Linked DNA regions of Arabidopsis thaliana. Each later gene encodes a partner of the first gene's protein in a complex. Each region holds a gene or a part of one and is shown on either strand. Other genes may lie near its edges.

What was found. The genes of interacting proteins can lie anywhere in the genome.
Region 2: AT1G27890 (region 1) and AT5G11350 share a complex: the UniProt entries of both Arabidopsis thaliana proteins name them as parts of the CCR4-NOT complex.
Region 3: AT1G27890 (region 1) and AT3G58560 share a complex: the UniProt entries of both Arabidopsis thaliana proteins name them as parts of the CCR4-NOT complex.

The regions. Positions count from the first base shown.
Region 1 is NC_003070.9:9,713,612-9,716,879, reverse strand, and holds AT1G27890 (Polynucleotidyl transferase, ribonuclease H-like superfamily protein), read left to right. Parts: upstream 1-1,703; 5' UTR 1,704-1,835; coding exon 1,836-2,744; downstream 2,745-3,268. Other genes in the region: AT1G27900 (RNA helicase family protein), read left to right, coding at 273-342, 541-701, 834-1,009, 1,118-1,265; AT1G27880 (DEAD/DEAH box RNA helicase family protein), read right to left, coding at 2,979-3,075, 3,164-3,268. UniProt on the Arabidopsis thaliana protein: Ubiquitous transcription factor required for a diverse set of processes. It is a component of the CCR4 complex involved in the control of gene expression.
Region 2 is NC_003076.8:3,619,809-3,625,940, forward strand, and holds AT5G11350 (DNAse I-like superfamily protein), read left to right. Parts: upstream 1-1,710; 5' UTR 1,711-1,774; coding exon 1,775-1,876; intron 1,877-1,959; coding exon 1,960-2,401; exon of another isoform or gene 2,402-2,408; coding exon of another isoform or gene 2,409-2,469; coding exon 2,470-2,636; intron 2,637-2,784; coding exon 2,785-2,850; intron 2,851-2,984; coding exon 2,985-3,037; intron 3,038-3,110; coding exon 3,111-3,192; intron 3,193-3,269; coding exon 3,270-3,319; intron 3,320-3,473; coding exon 3,474-3,555; intron 3,556-3,768; coding exon 3,769-3,861; intron 3,862-3,947; coding exon 3,948-3,980; intron 3,981-4,066; coding exon 4,067-4,155; intron 4,156-4,297; coding exon 4,298-5,060; intron 5,061-5,153; coding exon 5,154-5,239; coding exon of another isoform or gene 5,240-5,246; intron 5,247-5,354; coding exon 5,355-5,439; coding exon of another isoform or gene 5,440-5,466; intron 5,467-5,529; coding exon 5,530-5,604; downstream 5,605-6,132. Other genes in the region: AT5G11340 (Acyl-CoA N-acyltransferases (NAT) superfamily protein), read left to right, coding at 582-704, 1,043-1,260; AT5G11360 (Interleukin-1 receptor-associated kinase 4 protein), read right to left, coding at 6,028-6,132. UniProt on the Arabidopsis thaliana protein: Acts as a catalytic component of the CCR4-NOT core complex, which in the nucleus seems to be a general transcription factor, and in the cytoplasm the major mRNA deadenylase involved in mRNA turnover.
Region 3 is NC_003074.8:21,650,037-21,655,857, reverse strand, and holds AT3G58560 (DNAse I-like superfamily protein), read left to right. Parts: upstream 1-1,657; 5' UTR 1,658-1,961; coding exon 1,962-2,119; intron 2,120-2,395; coding exon 2,396-3,134; intron 3,135-3,237; coding exon 3,238-3,324; intron 3,325-3,425; coding exon 3,426-3,509; intron 3,510-3,580; coding exon 3,581-3,667; intron 3,668-3,761; coding exon 3,762-3,848; intron 3,849-3,991; coding exon 3,992-4,045; intron 4,046-4,132; coding exon 4,133-4,224; intron 4,225-4,338; coding exon 4,339-4,453; intron 4,454-4,568; coding exon 4,569-4,716; intron 4,717-4,820; coding exon 4,821-4,978; 3' UTR 4,979-5,293; downstream 5,294-5,821. Other genes in the region: AT3G58550 (Bifunctional inhibitor/lipid-transfer protein/seed storage 2S albumin superfamily protein), read left to right, coding at 5,625-5,821. UniProt on the Arabidopsis thaliana protein: Acts as a catalytic component of the CCR4-NOT core complex, which in the nucleus seems to be a general transcription factor, and in the cytoplasm the major mRNA deadenylase involved in mRNA turnover.

The DNA.
Region 1 (3,268 bases):
CCTTACTGCATTGTTACTTCAGAAGGTGGTCAGTTATATGCTGTCTCTGCAGTTAATACAATCTATATAGCATAGAAAATCCCTTCATTGTTGAGACCTGACTCCGATGGGCGTCAATGTTTGTATTTTCTGCTTCATACAGTTTTATAACCAACAATTATGGGAGTTACTGAAATTTACTACCTTTGTTTAGATAGTCTATTTCGGTACATTATTACGTGGGTTCCTTATGCCAATAAGAAAGATAACTTTTGTTGAAAAATAATTTGCAGGTGCGAGGGATGGTGTTTGTCAAAGATGTTAGAAGACAGTTATGTCAGATTATGCAGAAAATATCCAAAGGTTAGATTGTTTCATGACAAGAAGATTCCGTGAAAGAATATATAATTATTTCTCTATGGCTTTCACCCTAAATGGTTATGCCTCCAACAGAACCAGAGTTTATGTCAACATCACTCTTTTATCTTGTGAGATGTGATAGGTGGCTGTGTCATACCTAACCAACCGTCACTAAAATATTTGGTCTCCTTGACAAACTAGATCGATTGGAAGTTGGGGCAGATGGTAGGAAGAGTTCAAGCCGAGACGACTACAGGAAGTTGAGGAAAGCTCTATGCGTTGGTAATGCAAACCAAATTGCTGAGAGAATGCTTCGTCACAATGGATACCGGACTCTTAGTTTCCAGTCCCAGCTAGTCCAGGCATTACTTCTCAATCCAAGTCTCATTTATCTGTTACAGTGTTAGATTTTCTATTACATCAGTAGCTCAGATATGTAAGCATTTCCAGTTTCGTATGATCATCGACATATTGACGTTTTTGGTTGATTCTAGGTGCATCCATCATCTGTATTGAGTGCCGACAATGACGGAATGATGCCTAACTACGTAGTGTACCATGAGCTGATTTCCACCACACGTCCGTTCATGCGGAATGTTTGTGCAGTAGATATGGCATGGGTGGCTCCCATCAAAAGAAAGATCGAGAAATTAAATGTCAGAAAATTGAGGTAAAAACAAACATTACTCTTTACTAGTTCAATCCAGTCTTGTTCTAGCTTTTTCTTGTCTGGTCTTGGATTCAGTAATTGATCGGTATCATTTAATCTGCCATGTAGCGGTGGACCGGCTCCCTCTTTCAAAGTACCTGAGGAGAAGACGGAGTTGTCTAAAAACAATGCAGAAACACCTGCAGTTTCTGAAAATGTTGAGAGTCGGATTGAAGCAGCCAGAGAACGCTTTCTTGCTCGTAAAGGACAGAAATAAATTTGATGTCTCAAACATAAATACAAGATTCAACTAGCCCTATAAAGAATAGAAAAGAGAAGCTTTCTGTAGAAGATTTGTTATTAGAGACAATTTTCAAATTTTGTATGTTCTGTTTTTTTTTTTTTTGGCTCAACTTAAACTTTTCTTTATTCTCATTCGACATGAGTTTTAAATTTTTAACCCAATTTGGTATGTTCTTAGTATTATGTTTAAAAGATGATAATGTTTACACGAAAAAAGAAAAGAAAAAGGTTTTGGTATTAGTCAGACTTCGGTTTAGTGATTTAATTCGGTTTAGTATTAAAATTGTAAACCGCTTCGGAAACAGGCTTCTCTTATTTTGGGCTTTTGAGAGGAAAATGGAAATCTCGTGTCCAACAAGAATTAAATTAGGAGTGATAAAAGTCAACACGAACTTTTTGACTGGAAAAAAATGGAAACTTTCCGGCGACGTAAGAAAAAAGGAAACTCCCACTGCTATTAGTATTCGAGTCTCCGAAATCAGATAGAGAGAGAGATTAGTATTTCAGATAAACAAACTGTTTCAGTCTTCAAAATCCGAGAGAGATGGGTGAAGTTTGGAGATGGAACAAGGAAGTAGAGATGGATTCGATAAGAGATTGTTTGAAACATTTTAGTTCCATCGCTATCGACACAGAGTTTCCCGGATGCTTAAAGGAGACTCCGATGGACGCGAGTGAGGAAATTCGTTACAGAGACATGAAGTTCAATGTGGACAACACCCATCTCATCCAGTTAGGTTTCACGCTATTCGACAGAAGAGGAATCACTAAAACCTGGGAAATAAACTTGTCAGATTTCAACGAACATAAGTGCTTCAAAAACGATAAGTCCATAGCTTTTCTCAAAAGCAATGGTCTCAATCTGGACAAGATCGGAGAGGAAGGTATTGGAATCGAAGAATTCTTTAGAGACTTTTCTCAGATTCTCAAGGAGAAGGACGGAAAGATAACTTGGGTGAATTTTCAAGGCTCTTACGACAATGCTTATCTCGTTAAAGGCTTAACGGGAGGGAAACCGTTACCGGAGACTAAGGAAGAGTTTCACGAGACCGTCGAGCAGCTTTTGGGAAAGTTTGTTTTTGACGTAAAGAAAATCGCTGAATCATGCAGCGGACTAAGTAGCCGATTCGGACTACAGAGAATAGCTGATGTGTTGCAGATGAAACGTGTTGGAAAAGCTCATCACGCTGGCTCAGACAGTGAATTGACGGCTCGTGTCTTCACTAAGTTGACTTTCGATTTGCTCAATAGTAGAAAGCAGTGTGTAAGACGAGTTGATCATCAGCAATATCAACTAGAGCAGCAGCAGCTTATGATGACTAGATGTTACATCCCAATACCGATACCTATACCGAGACCGAGATCGGTGATGTTTGCTGCTCATCACCCGAACCCGTATTTTGGTGGTGGTTACTTTGGGATGCCGGTCCAAGGAAGGAACTACGTTTTGTGATGCCTGAATGTTTGTTTAACATGACTTGCTCTGCTATTATGTATAATTTCTAGTTTTATCAGATGTTTCTTTAAATACTAAAGATTAACTTTCATCTTTTCTTGTCGATCAAAACAATTCTCTCAACTCTCATATGACACAATTTCTCTTTACTGGATACTTTCAATGAATCTAGAATACAATACAAATAAATTTAAATATCCTAAGAATCTACTCAAAGCCTCTAATCTTATGTTATGTAGCTAAAGCTGCGTTCCTGTCAACAAAATTGAACAACTCTGTTTGTGCCGCTTCCATTATCACTCGGAAGTCTACGTTCATATACCTTCCCCTGCAAAGCCATATTTCAATTAAATCACATGTACCATCACCAAACAATAACTTGCATGGCTTGGTTTAGCTGATGATGATGAATATACCAGAAATGAGTCTTGGACCAGACTGAATTCGGAAAAGCTGGACTTCCAACTCCGTGCATTATTCTCGCGATGGCTCTTGGTGTGAATTTGGCTTGGCGATTACTC
Region 2 (6,132 bases), on another chromosome or scaffold:
TACTAGTGTCTGATACTAGGAAGAAGATGATTTTATCGGTAATATTGGTAGAAGCCTTCTTTCTAAGCCTTGAATGGATCGATTTTGTTTGCTTTCTATTGTCTGTTGTTTCGTAATTACCGATTCATGTTTGAACTTTGTGGTTGATGACATTGATGTTGACAAAGTATCATCTTGATCGTTGTTTTAAGTTGTTTGACTATATGAATACTGCATTCTTTTGTTCAACCAAGCAAAATTTTTTGTATGTTAAGCATGTGTACCTTGTAATCTATCGCTGATTGACTTATATTATCTTTCGAGAACATGGTCCAAGACTAATTTTCGTATTCACAGAATTTTTTCAAGCTCACTTTTGTGAAACCCTTGGTTGGAACATCTTTTGCGTCAACTAGTTCTTTAAATGTACAATAAGATGTGATTATGAAAGTCTAAAGACTGTTAACAACGTCTTAAATTTGGTACTAACTATTTCATTGCAGTTGCTTGGGTAGTTATGTTCTTGGTGTTACATATATTTTCTCTAATTTGTGATCAAGGAAAATTCTTCATGTTCTAATAATGGATTGACTTCCTCTCAGCATATTACAATGACATATGTGTTGGAGCTATCGCCTGTCGGCTGGAGAAGAAAGAAAGTGGGGCCATGCGAGTTTATATAATGACGCTTGGTGTTCTTGCACCCTACCGTGGGATTGGCATTGGTAAGTCATAAATCTGCTGTGCAAAACTTGAATACCGACAAAACATGAATAATGAAGAAAACTGTTAGCATGTTGTGTAATTCTGTTGTTTTCCTTACGTTTTAACACATGAGGCCAGCTGTAGTATGTTTATTCTGTAGTTCTCTATTTGAAGTGTCTCCATTTAGAGATTCAAACCACCAAGAAATAGTCCTTAGGGTTTTATGCATATCGTTGTTTTACCGAGAAACTGGAATTATGATTCCTCCTATATCAAGATTTAAGATCGAATTCCCTGCTTTAGAAAGAAAAACTCGATGTCTATAATTTGTGTATCTTGTTTTTTTCGTCTTTTGCAGGCTCAAATCTATTGAATCATGTTCTTGACATGTGCTCCAAGCAAAACATGTGTGAGATATACTTGCATGTGCAGACAAACAACGAAGACGCAATCAAGTTCTACAAGAAGTTCGGCTTTGAGATCACAGATACCATACAAAACTATTACATCAACATTGAGCCAAGAGATTGCTACGTTGTCAGCAAGTCCTTTGCTCAATCTGAAGCCAACAAATGATGAAAAATACCAAACTTGGGGAAGCCATTCCTCCCCAGTTTCTTTGTTGCATTCAGTTCAAGATCTATTAATGTTATGATGATCCTTCGGTTTCCGAGTTTTGCTTGTTTTGTTGACCTTAATTTTTCTTACTGATTCTAAATTTATAAATTCCTGGTTATATACTTGCATGATTTCTCTAATGTCCTCTTGGCTTTGGACATTTTCGTTTGGAAAAGTTTTTAACTTTGCAACTCAAAGCTTTACTACCAAGTATCATCGTGTTTGTAAATGTTGGTCTATGAATTTGAGTAAAGAGAGACAATGATTCTTGTTATGAGCTGTAGAATAAAGTAAAGAAAAAAATGAAGAATTTATGACTTGCGTTTTGGCTTGCGTGCCATTTATTCACAGTGAAGACTGGAAGATGTGTTCTTCTTGAATCAAAAAACGGCACGTCTTATGAGTCTCCGTTCATCGGTGTCTGCAATTAAGCACCGGTTCCTCGAGCTTCCTCACTCAATTCGATTGACCAATGCGGCGTTCTCGTTTTGTTGCTCAAGTTTTCTCCGACGTTACCTTCGCTGACGCCTCCACTATCTCTGCTCCAATCTTCACCATGTCTACTCGTGCTCCGGTAAATTTTCTCAGCTATTCTCTTGTTCTATCACTCCCGCTGCGTTGCTTCGGTTACTGGAATATAATTTGTTTCTTACGAAGCAGTACAGAGGTGCCCGAGGACGAGGACGAGGCCGAGGTGGGAGAAGTTTCTCCGATCGTCCGTACAATGATGACGCGGGAAGAGATCAGTTCGTTACTGGAGATTCTCATTTTCAATCAGTTCATGACGCCAATTTCCGATTCCGGCATGGTGAACCTTATCGACAACATCAGCCTCCGCTTGATCAGCGGCAGCAACCACCGTTCAATCAGAATTACGAATTTCGACCTCCGCCGCCGTCACGAGGTCAGTGGCAACAATTCCGTCAACCTAATCAGTTTCCGTCTAATCAAAACTACGCGGCTTGCCCTCCCCCTCCGTTCTATCAAAACCAGATGTCCCGGCCGCCTCCACAGCAGAGCTTTCGTCAACGGCCACGGTCAAAACCTTCAGATTACCGTGAATGGGAATATGCCAAAACGCCACCGTCTCCTGGCTCCGGTAATTTATGCGTGACCATCTCATTTGCTCCGGTATACAATTTTTGATTTGCTTTCTCTTGTCTACAGAAAAGTTTGTTGTTTTATCGTATAATATATTGGCGGATTACCTTGCAAATGATCACTGGAGAAGTCTTTACTTTCACATACCGAGGAATATGTTGAGTTGGGGATGGAGAAAGAGCAAATTAGTGTTCGAGCTTAGCCTATGGTCTGCAGATATAATGTGCCTTCAGGTTATAGTTTCTGCTATATCTTCTTGGTAATTGCTTGTATGAGGGACTAAGGAGACAAAACTTTCTTGCTTTACTATTTTTTTATCATATGTATACAGAATGTATCTTCCATATGTATAGTAATCTAAAATTATTTTGTATATGTCAGGAAGTTGATAAATTTCAGGACTTAGAGGAGGAGATGAAGCACCGGGGATATAGTGCTATTTGGAAGGTAGGTTTGTTGAAAACTTTTAGTTGTCTTGAGTTTGTATTCTCTACGGACTCTCTTGGAGTAAAGATTAAATGGTATGCATCATAAGAACTAGGCTTCAAATGTGGGGTTAACTCTATTTTATAAAACTGTAGATGCGGACTGGTAATGCTGTTGACGGATGTGCAATATTTTGGCGATCCAATAGGTTTGATTCCCTTGCTCTTCCTTGTGTGGATCAGTCTGGAATCTTGTTTAGGATTTCATTGTTATCATATTAGATTCAAGTTGGTTCACGAGGAAAGCATCCAGTTCAATCAACTTGGTCTCCGAGATAACGTTGCTCAAATATGTGTGCTTGAGGTAATATGGATACCTTATGTTGATAGTGACTTATATACATTTGCCTCTTTGCCCTAAATTAAATTTGCTCTGTGTAGACATTGTTGACTTCACATACAAAAGAAAATGAGACCCCTCCACCTGAAAGGTAACTTAAAAGTATCTGTAAATGTTACTATCATATCATTTTATGGGTGGATAATTTCACTAGGAAGTGGCCGATTTTCTTCAGATTTCAGTGGTTTTCTGTATGGACTATACTTTGTGGGTGGGTTGAAGTGAATTACCAATTTCTTTTACAGCTCTGCTGGTTCCCATCGAGTTGTCATTTGTAACATTCACGTGCTTTTTAATCCTAAAAGAGGAGACTTTAAACTTGGTCAGGTACTTTCCTTTAATGCCATATTCTAGTTTGTAGAAATCTTTTGCCAAACGACAGTTTTACTCTCTGGTTTAACTCTGTCTATACGCTATGAACATGTATAAGTGTTAGGTGTTTGAGATAAAACTTTTGAAACCAAACGCTTCGCCCCTTGCTTAACTTGGTTTCTTTAACTGTTTCCATTTATCATCTATGTATTTATCTCTGTTACGTAGGTCAGAACACTCTTAGATAAAGCTCATGCTGTTTCAAAACTCTGGGATGATGCGCCTATTGTTCTTTGTGGGGATTTCAATTGTACACCAAAGGTAGGACAATCTTACCTTAACCAGTTTGTATACCCCAAAAAACTTGTTTTGTGACATGGTCATAACATTCTTCCACCTGGTTGCAGAGTCCTTTGTACAACTTTATTTCAGACCGGAAGGTAAAGCTTCATTGTTAGGAAAGTCCTTCACCTATTCGCAACATTATATATATGGTTCACATTGTGTCTTGTGCTGCTCTCTGCAGTTGGATTTGTCTGGTTTGGCCAGAGACAAAGTTTCGGGGCAAGTTTCTGCTGAGTTTCGTCCACCAAGGCCAGAAAATTATACAACGAGGTAGAGCAAACTCACCAAGTTCTTCGACATCATTAAGTATATGGTTATGCAACTTAACACCTCCATGTCTACCCTAGAATATCGGGTTCTACTCTGCTTTTGCAATTGTCAGCATGGTTGATAGGCCTCCTCAATTTTCCAGGTATCAGTCCGCCAACAAATCTCCACAAGGTCAAGTTCAACCACCAAATTTGATCACAAATGCTCATATGGAGAATAACTCCAACATAGATGTTGGAACGGCCCCCTCCGAGAAGACATCTGAGCTTCCATGTGGTGATACAATTCTTGCTGGTCACGAAGCCACCTCCAGCTCTGACCAAGTATTACCATGCGAGAATATGGCCTCAGATTGTCAGTTTGGAATAGAAAACAGAAAACCTGATGATTCCGGGAATCTCTCGACAGCTGAAGATCTTTCTTCACTAACCATATCAGATACAGAACCTCAACATGCTTCCAGTGCTAGAGAAGATTTGAATACAGATCGTTCTGTAAGTTCCGGTTTATCAGAAACAGAGCAAACTCCTGAGGAAATATGTTCCAGTGATCAAGATATTTCATCTAGTCTCTCCACCAAGGTTGACACTTTTGTGGCTGAAATGAAACTAGATGGCTTAAAATTGGACGAACCAGTAGTATTCGCGCAAGATGAAGAAAGTTTAGGTGAAGATGGGGAAACCTTTTTGGCTAAGCTACACGATAACAATGAAAACTTGAGTCAAAAAGGGGAACTTGTGAGTGAAGTTCCACTTAAATGGAGTTCTGAAGCTTTAAATAGTGACAAAATCACTTATAGTCCATCCTCTTGGACTCCAATGGAGATAGCAACTGCAACTGGTGACCCAGAGAGAACTACGGTTGAACATGCTCTGGAGCTTAAAAGCACATACTCAGAAGTGGAGGTATTGTAATATATCCTCCCTACAGTTTTTCCCTTTTATCTTCTGTTTCTTGAGAAATTATATCCTTAGGAAGCTGTTGAAATTTGTGGTTAGGGTCAAGCAAACACAAGGGATGAAAACGGAGAACCTGTAGTGACCAGTTATCACAGATGTTTCATGGGGACAGTTGACTACATATGGTATTAGCATTAGAAGCAAAACCATTTGTGACAAACCTTAAAATTAGATTACTTCATTATTGTAAATTATGCGCGTTTTGACATATTCTCATGTTTGATTTCTGGTTTGGGTTAGGCGGTCGGAAGGTCTTCAAACAGTGCGTGTGCTTGCTCCAATACCAAAGCAAGCAATGCAGTGGACTCCAGGCTTCCCGACTCCTGTAAAATCCCATGATATTCTTATATAGCCTACCTTTTTAACTGAATTGTTTACAAAACTTTTTTATGTTTGTATTTCTGGTTTGTTACAGAAATGGGGAAGCGATCACATTGCACTGGTTTCAGAGTTGGCCTTCTGCAGCAGCAAAACTCTGCCCAAAAGCTGATATTAAACTGGTGGTGAGTTCATTAGAAATCTAAGAAAGTGTAAAGAGATTAGATGGTTGAGGTCTTGGGTTCAAAGCACATCCTTGTTGCAATGTTTGTGCTCTGAAGGTCGCCAATAGCTTATTTTATATCCCAGCAAAACATCTAAGAGTAAACTTTTACAGAATCTCATAGGCTCTAGTTTTGTATTTTTCTCTATCATATTTTACAGTGACAAATTATATTTGAGTTTTTCTTTTTGGGCGACACTCGATTTCAGAAAATCTGCTATAAAAGTTTAAAGCATGCTTCTTGATTTTAAATAGCTTCAATTGTTAACCCCTAACTCTTTCAGCTTTAGTCTAGACTGACTCTTTCAATTATTACAAATAAACACCTAGCATTTATCCATGTCCCTGTGTCCAATATAAGGACATCTCACATTAGGACCTAATCCCTGCAATATAATTCAGAGCATCCAAAACTTCTTGCATCAATGGTCGTTTCTTCTTGTCCCGATTGGTGCATCTTTGGATGAGTGTGACAAT
Region 3 (5,821 bases), on another chromosome or scaffold:
AAAAATTAATGTTATTTGATATTGTAAAATACAAAAAAATATATTTATATCCAATATAAATATATTTTGTATATATATATAATGCATTAATTCATATAATATTTACTTTATTTTTTCAATTTCAAAACTAAACTAAGAGAATAAATATTTTTTTAAGATATGAACTATTCATAATAATAATAATAATAGTTAGTTTCTTAAGAAGTTAAATTTTTAATTGCTAAATATTTTTAATCAATAGTTAGTTTTTTCTTATATTATTCGTAAAAAACATTTACTTTGAATTTAAAAATTACCGTGCAAAATTTAGACTAAAAAGTTATATACTCAATTGTTTTTCATATTACTTTCTTATGAAACTTATATAGTCATGTGTATTTGGTTCTGTAATGATTTATTTTCTAATGAATAAAGAAGTTTATATATTTTAATTGATAATACAAAAAAAAGATTCTTTCACTCATATGTTTCTAATAAGATTTTTCTGGTTTTAATTTCAGTTTTTTTTTTGTTTTAAAAATTTTAATCATTTTTTTCATTTTTAGTTTAGTTTTGAAATTAAAAAAAGCTAAATATTTTAAGAATCAATGTATTAAATATATATGCAAAATATTTTTATAGTAGATGTAAAAATTGTTTTTTGATTATAGAATAACTAGTAAAACTAGATTTTTAATATTAAAAATAAAGTAAAAATTTATTTTTGAATATTTTTGTTGGTTAACACCGGTTGACGTTAGAGTTAATTGGTTATTTAACATGAAATTTTATATTTATAATGTTAACTATATAATATTATATACTTGGTTATGCAATCTATATACATCATTTAATTAAGTGTTATTTAGTTTAGTTGACATATATAGTTTGTACTGTATTATATTTTCCGTAAGTTTCAATCTTTTTTATTATAAATAGGTGAATATATGTGTATATAGAAAAAAGAGTATTAAAGACTTTTTGTTTCCCTTTGGAAAATAAAATAAAATAAAAATACGAGTCCATATTTGGTCTTGAACGAGACTTGCGTTCATTCCTAGGGGGATGAACCTCTTTGTTCACCTCCTTTTGCATTAACTAATAAAAATATGTCATGTCAAATCCTATTTAAATTACATAATAAATTGAAGCTATAATTATAATCCAAACCGATATATAATTTCGTTTAATTACAAAATCTAAACCCTAATTCTTCTTTGTAAATCCAAACCGCCATTTAAACTCATTTAGTCGTAAAAAAACTAAACCCTAATCGTATTTTCTAAACCCAAACCGACATTTAACCTTGTTTAATTGTTAAATCTAAACCTGTTAATAAATCTAAACCAATATTTAACCCGTTTAATCATAAAATCTAAACCTTAATCGTACTTTCTAAACCAAAACCGATATTTAATCTCGTTTAATCATAAAATCTAAACCCTAATCGTATTTTCTAAACCCAAATCAATATTTAACCTTGTTTAATTGTAAAATCTAAACCATGATTTTTTCAAATAAACTCAAATCGATATATAATTTTGTTTTTGAGGCAAATTAGATTTTATAATTAAATTAAACTTTTATTATTATTATTAGGTTTTAAATTTTAATGGGCTAAAACAGTGAATATAGAACCCAAGTATTTTTCTTTGGTCTTTGTCCATCTTTGGAAATTAATTTAGTCGTAGCGAACAAATCTATCCCACTCATTGGATTTCAATTTCATAAATTTTAGGTTGTAAAATTCGGGTTTGGAGAAAATTGGGGGTAAATCTAGGGTTCTGGGAAAATTAGGGTTCTGGGAAAATTAGGGTTCATCCATGCTGTCGAGTTTTAGGGTCAAGTAAATGACGGATCCATTAGGATCCGTTTTATATCTTATGCTCTCTCGTCTCAATATATATATTTAAAAATCTCAGCCTTTGGGCTTCGTTAGTGTTGGTTTGCTTTCAGAATTTAACTTAGTTACGGTAAAAGCAATGCTTAGCGTTATACGAGTGCATCTACCGTCGGAGATTCCTATTGTTGGCTGCGAACTTACACCTTACGTACTTCTCCGGCGGCCTGATAAGACCCCCTCCACCGATGATGTGCCTGAGTCAGCCCCGCTTGAAGGTCACTTCTTAAAGTACAGATGGTAAGTCATGCCTGTGGCTTCCTTTTACTCTTAAATCTGCTCCCTTTTACTAGCTTTTGCTCGAGTTTGTTATGGACGACTTTTTTTTACCGAAAGTTTGAGACTTTTCTGTGAATTCCCGGGTATGATTTGTTTAAGTGTTTCTTAGTCAGTTCAAGTCTTTGTTCGTTTGCAAATTTGAGTGTGAAAAATGATTTCTTTAATTGTAAAGTAGGGTTTATAAGTCTCCAGTCTTGTCTTTTGGTTCTGTATTAAAAGATGCATCATCTGTTGCAGGTTTCGAGTACAGAGTGATAAGAAAGTTGCGATTTGTAGTGTGCATCCATCCGAGACGGCAACATTGCAGTGTCTGGGATGTCTAAAGTCTAAAGTTCCTGTTGCCAAAAGCTACCATTGCTCTACTAAGTGCTTTTCGGATGCGTGGCAACATCACCGTGTGTTGCATGAGCGTGCTGCCAGTGCTGCTACAGAAGGAAATGATGAAGAAGAGTTGCCCCGTTTGAATAGCTCAGGGTCTGGATCTGGTGTTCTCAGCACCAGTGTTAGTTTAACGAATGGGTCATCATCAGTTTATCCTTCAGCCATAACTCAAAAGACCGGCGCCGGAGGAGAAACACTTGTTGAGGTTGGACGCTCTAAGACATACACACCAATGGCTGATGATATTTGCCATGTTTTGAAGTTTGAATGTGTAGTAGTCAATGCAGAGACAAAACAGAATGTGGGCCTTTCTTGTACCATATTGACTTCCCGTGTTATCCCAGCTCCATCACCTTCTCCGCGTAGGCTGATCTCTATTAGTGGAACTGATGTTACTGGGCACCTGGATTCTAATGGGCGGCCTTTGTCTATGGGAACATTCACTGTGCTGTCCTACAATATATTGTCTGATACATATGCTAGCAGCGACATATACAGTTACTGCCCCACATGGGCTCTCGCTTGGACATACCGTAGACAGAATTTGTTACGGGAAATTGTCAAGTACCGTGCAGATATAGTTTGTCTACAAGAGGTATGTTAAATATTTATGGCACAAGTTGTACTGACTTGGAAACGTTTCAATTGCTAGTTAATGGATAAATACCTCTCCAATATTTTCGTTTTTCATCTTGCAGGTACAGAATGATCATTTTGAGGAGTTTTTTCTTCCTGAGCTGGATAAACACGGATACCAAGGTCTTTTTAAGAGGAAAACAAATGAGGTTTGCTTCAACGCATCCCCTTGATCTTCCATTACCTTTTCGTGGTCACTTATCTGCAAGATGTACCAACCAGAAAATATTGATTCACTGGATAATTTTAGGTTTTCATCGGTAATACAAACACAATTGATGGGTGCGCTACTTTCTTCAGAAGAGACAGGTTCTCACATGTAAAAAAATATGAGGTATGTCTTAGTTTTCTCCTGTTACCTATCTAATTAGGCCCATTTGCTAAATCATTGGGCTGCTCATCCAGGTTGAGTTCAACAAGGCTGCACAGTCTTTGACTGAGGCTATTATCCCTGTTTCCCAGAAGAAAAATGCTTTGAATCGGTTGGTCAAGGTACTCTGAGATGCTCTATAGTATGATTTCTGTTTTCCGCACATTCTTGGTGATATTTTTTCATGTAAAACTGATTTAGAGTCTTTCTTTTTAGGATAATGTTGCTTTAATAGTTGTACTGGAAGCAAAATTCGGTAGCCAGGCTGCTGACAATCCTGGGAAGCGCCAGCTACTTTGTGTGGTAAGTTGTCCATCTTTTCAATATTGTTCTTTATTGTCAGAGATGATGCTAGAGTTGAAGTTATGTGTTTCCACTTCCTCTTCTCCTTTAAAGGTCTCGAGGTGATCATGTTTTCTCTCTTTTCATGTATTTGATGGGTGCAGGCTAACACGCATGTAAACGTTCCTCATGAATTGAAAGATGTAAAGCTGTGGCAGGTTGGTCTTTATTTCTCATTGTAAAAGAACTCTCAGATTTCGGATTCTTACATCACTATTGATCCATAATGATTCTTGCCCAAATAGGTTCACACATTATTGAAGGGACTGGAGAAAATAGCTGCCAGTGCAGATATTCCAATGCTTGTGTGTGGAGATTTCAACACAGTACCTGCGAGGTCTGGCTGGTTTTCCTATTTGTTATGCCCAAGTAGCAATTGTCAAACTCTATATTAAATTATGATTGTGGTTTCTACCTGAATTAACTTGGAGTTCCTTCTTAATATTTTCAGTGCTCCTCATACACTTCTTGCTGTGGGAAAGGTCGATCCATTGCACCCAGATTTGATGGTTGATCCTCTTGGAATTTTACGTCCTCACAGCAAGCTTACTCATCAGCTGCCACTGGTAATTATCTTTCCCAAAAATGGAAAACAGATGCACAGAATCGTGAAAGGCAGACTTCAATTTTAATTAGAATGGCAACATATGCGTAGACATCATACCTTTGTGACCATTGCAGGTTAGTGCCTACTCACAATTTGCAAAAATGGGAGGCAACGTTATTACTGAGCAGCAACGTAGAAGACTGGATCCTGCATCAAGTGAACCGTTGTTTACCAACTGTACCAGGGACTTTATAGGCACACTTGATTACATATTTTACACAGGTTAACTTAAGTGCTTACTTTCAGGGGTTTTACGCGCCAGTGTTTGCTTTCATCTCAGATTTCTTTTTCATCTGGTAAGCAATTTGCTTTTTGTTTTGTTTCAGCGGACACGCTAACAGTGGAATCGTTGTTGGAACTGTTGGATGAAGAGTCCTTGAGGAAGGACACAGCTCTTCCATCTCCAGAATGGTCTTCTGATCACATTGCACTTTTGGCTGAATTTCGCTGCATGCCCAGGGCCAGACGAAACAATATTTTATAGAGATACTGCAGCTGTAATAACCCGATACCAAAGACTGGTTCCAATGGATATGGTTAAGCTACATGAAGTAGATAGCATGGCCATGTCCCTGGGGTTTCTCCCGCTGGGTTTTTCGCTTGCGTTCTACTCTGTATCACAGTTTTATTTACTGCTTGGTTCGCTTGGCTTTTCTTTCTATAGTTATTTCCTCTTTGCCAGAAAGTTTTGTCTTCACTGGCTTGTGATTGTAACAATGTAAACAATTAGATTCTTCAAGAAAATAGTGACTTCACCTTTTCCATATTAAAATCTGTGTCTTCTATGGTTGCAATCCTCCTTACACTCTTAACCCTACAGCTTAACCATCAATTTTCTAGTCTCTTCACTTGTAGATATCTTGCAGATACTGTGAAAACGAACTGTGAACAACTTGATATATTTTATATGTACCCCTCCAATAACTGAAGATGATCCAAATTCCAAAACTCAAATTTCAATTCAGAAATTAGACATGTTAACCAGTACTCATTATATAATCCTTTTAAATCAAGTTTCTTGCAGACTTAGAACTCTCGAGTATCCCTATAACTAGAGAGGGAAACATATGTGAACAAGAAACAAGTCTTATAAAAAGCCACATTAAGTTCTTACTCTGCTGCATTAACTGATGGCTAGATTCATGGCTTACAATCAAAATCCACAAATGTTGGCTCTATGCATAACAGTAGCAGTAATGTTCCTTGGTGTGAGATCAGAATTGAGTCAGGATATAAAGGGATGTCAGGATGCGATGTCTGATCTCTACTCTTGTCTTCCTTTTGTCACTAACAAAGCTAAAGCACCAGACTCAACATGTTGCAGCAC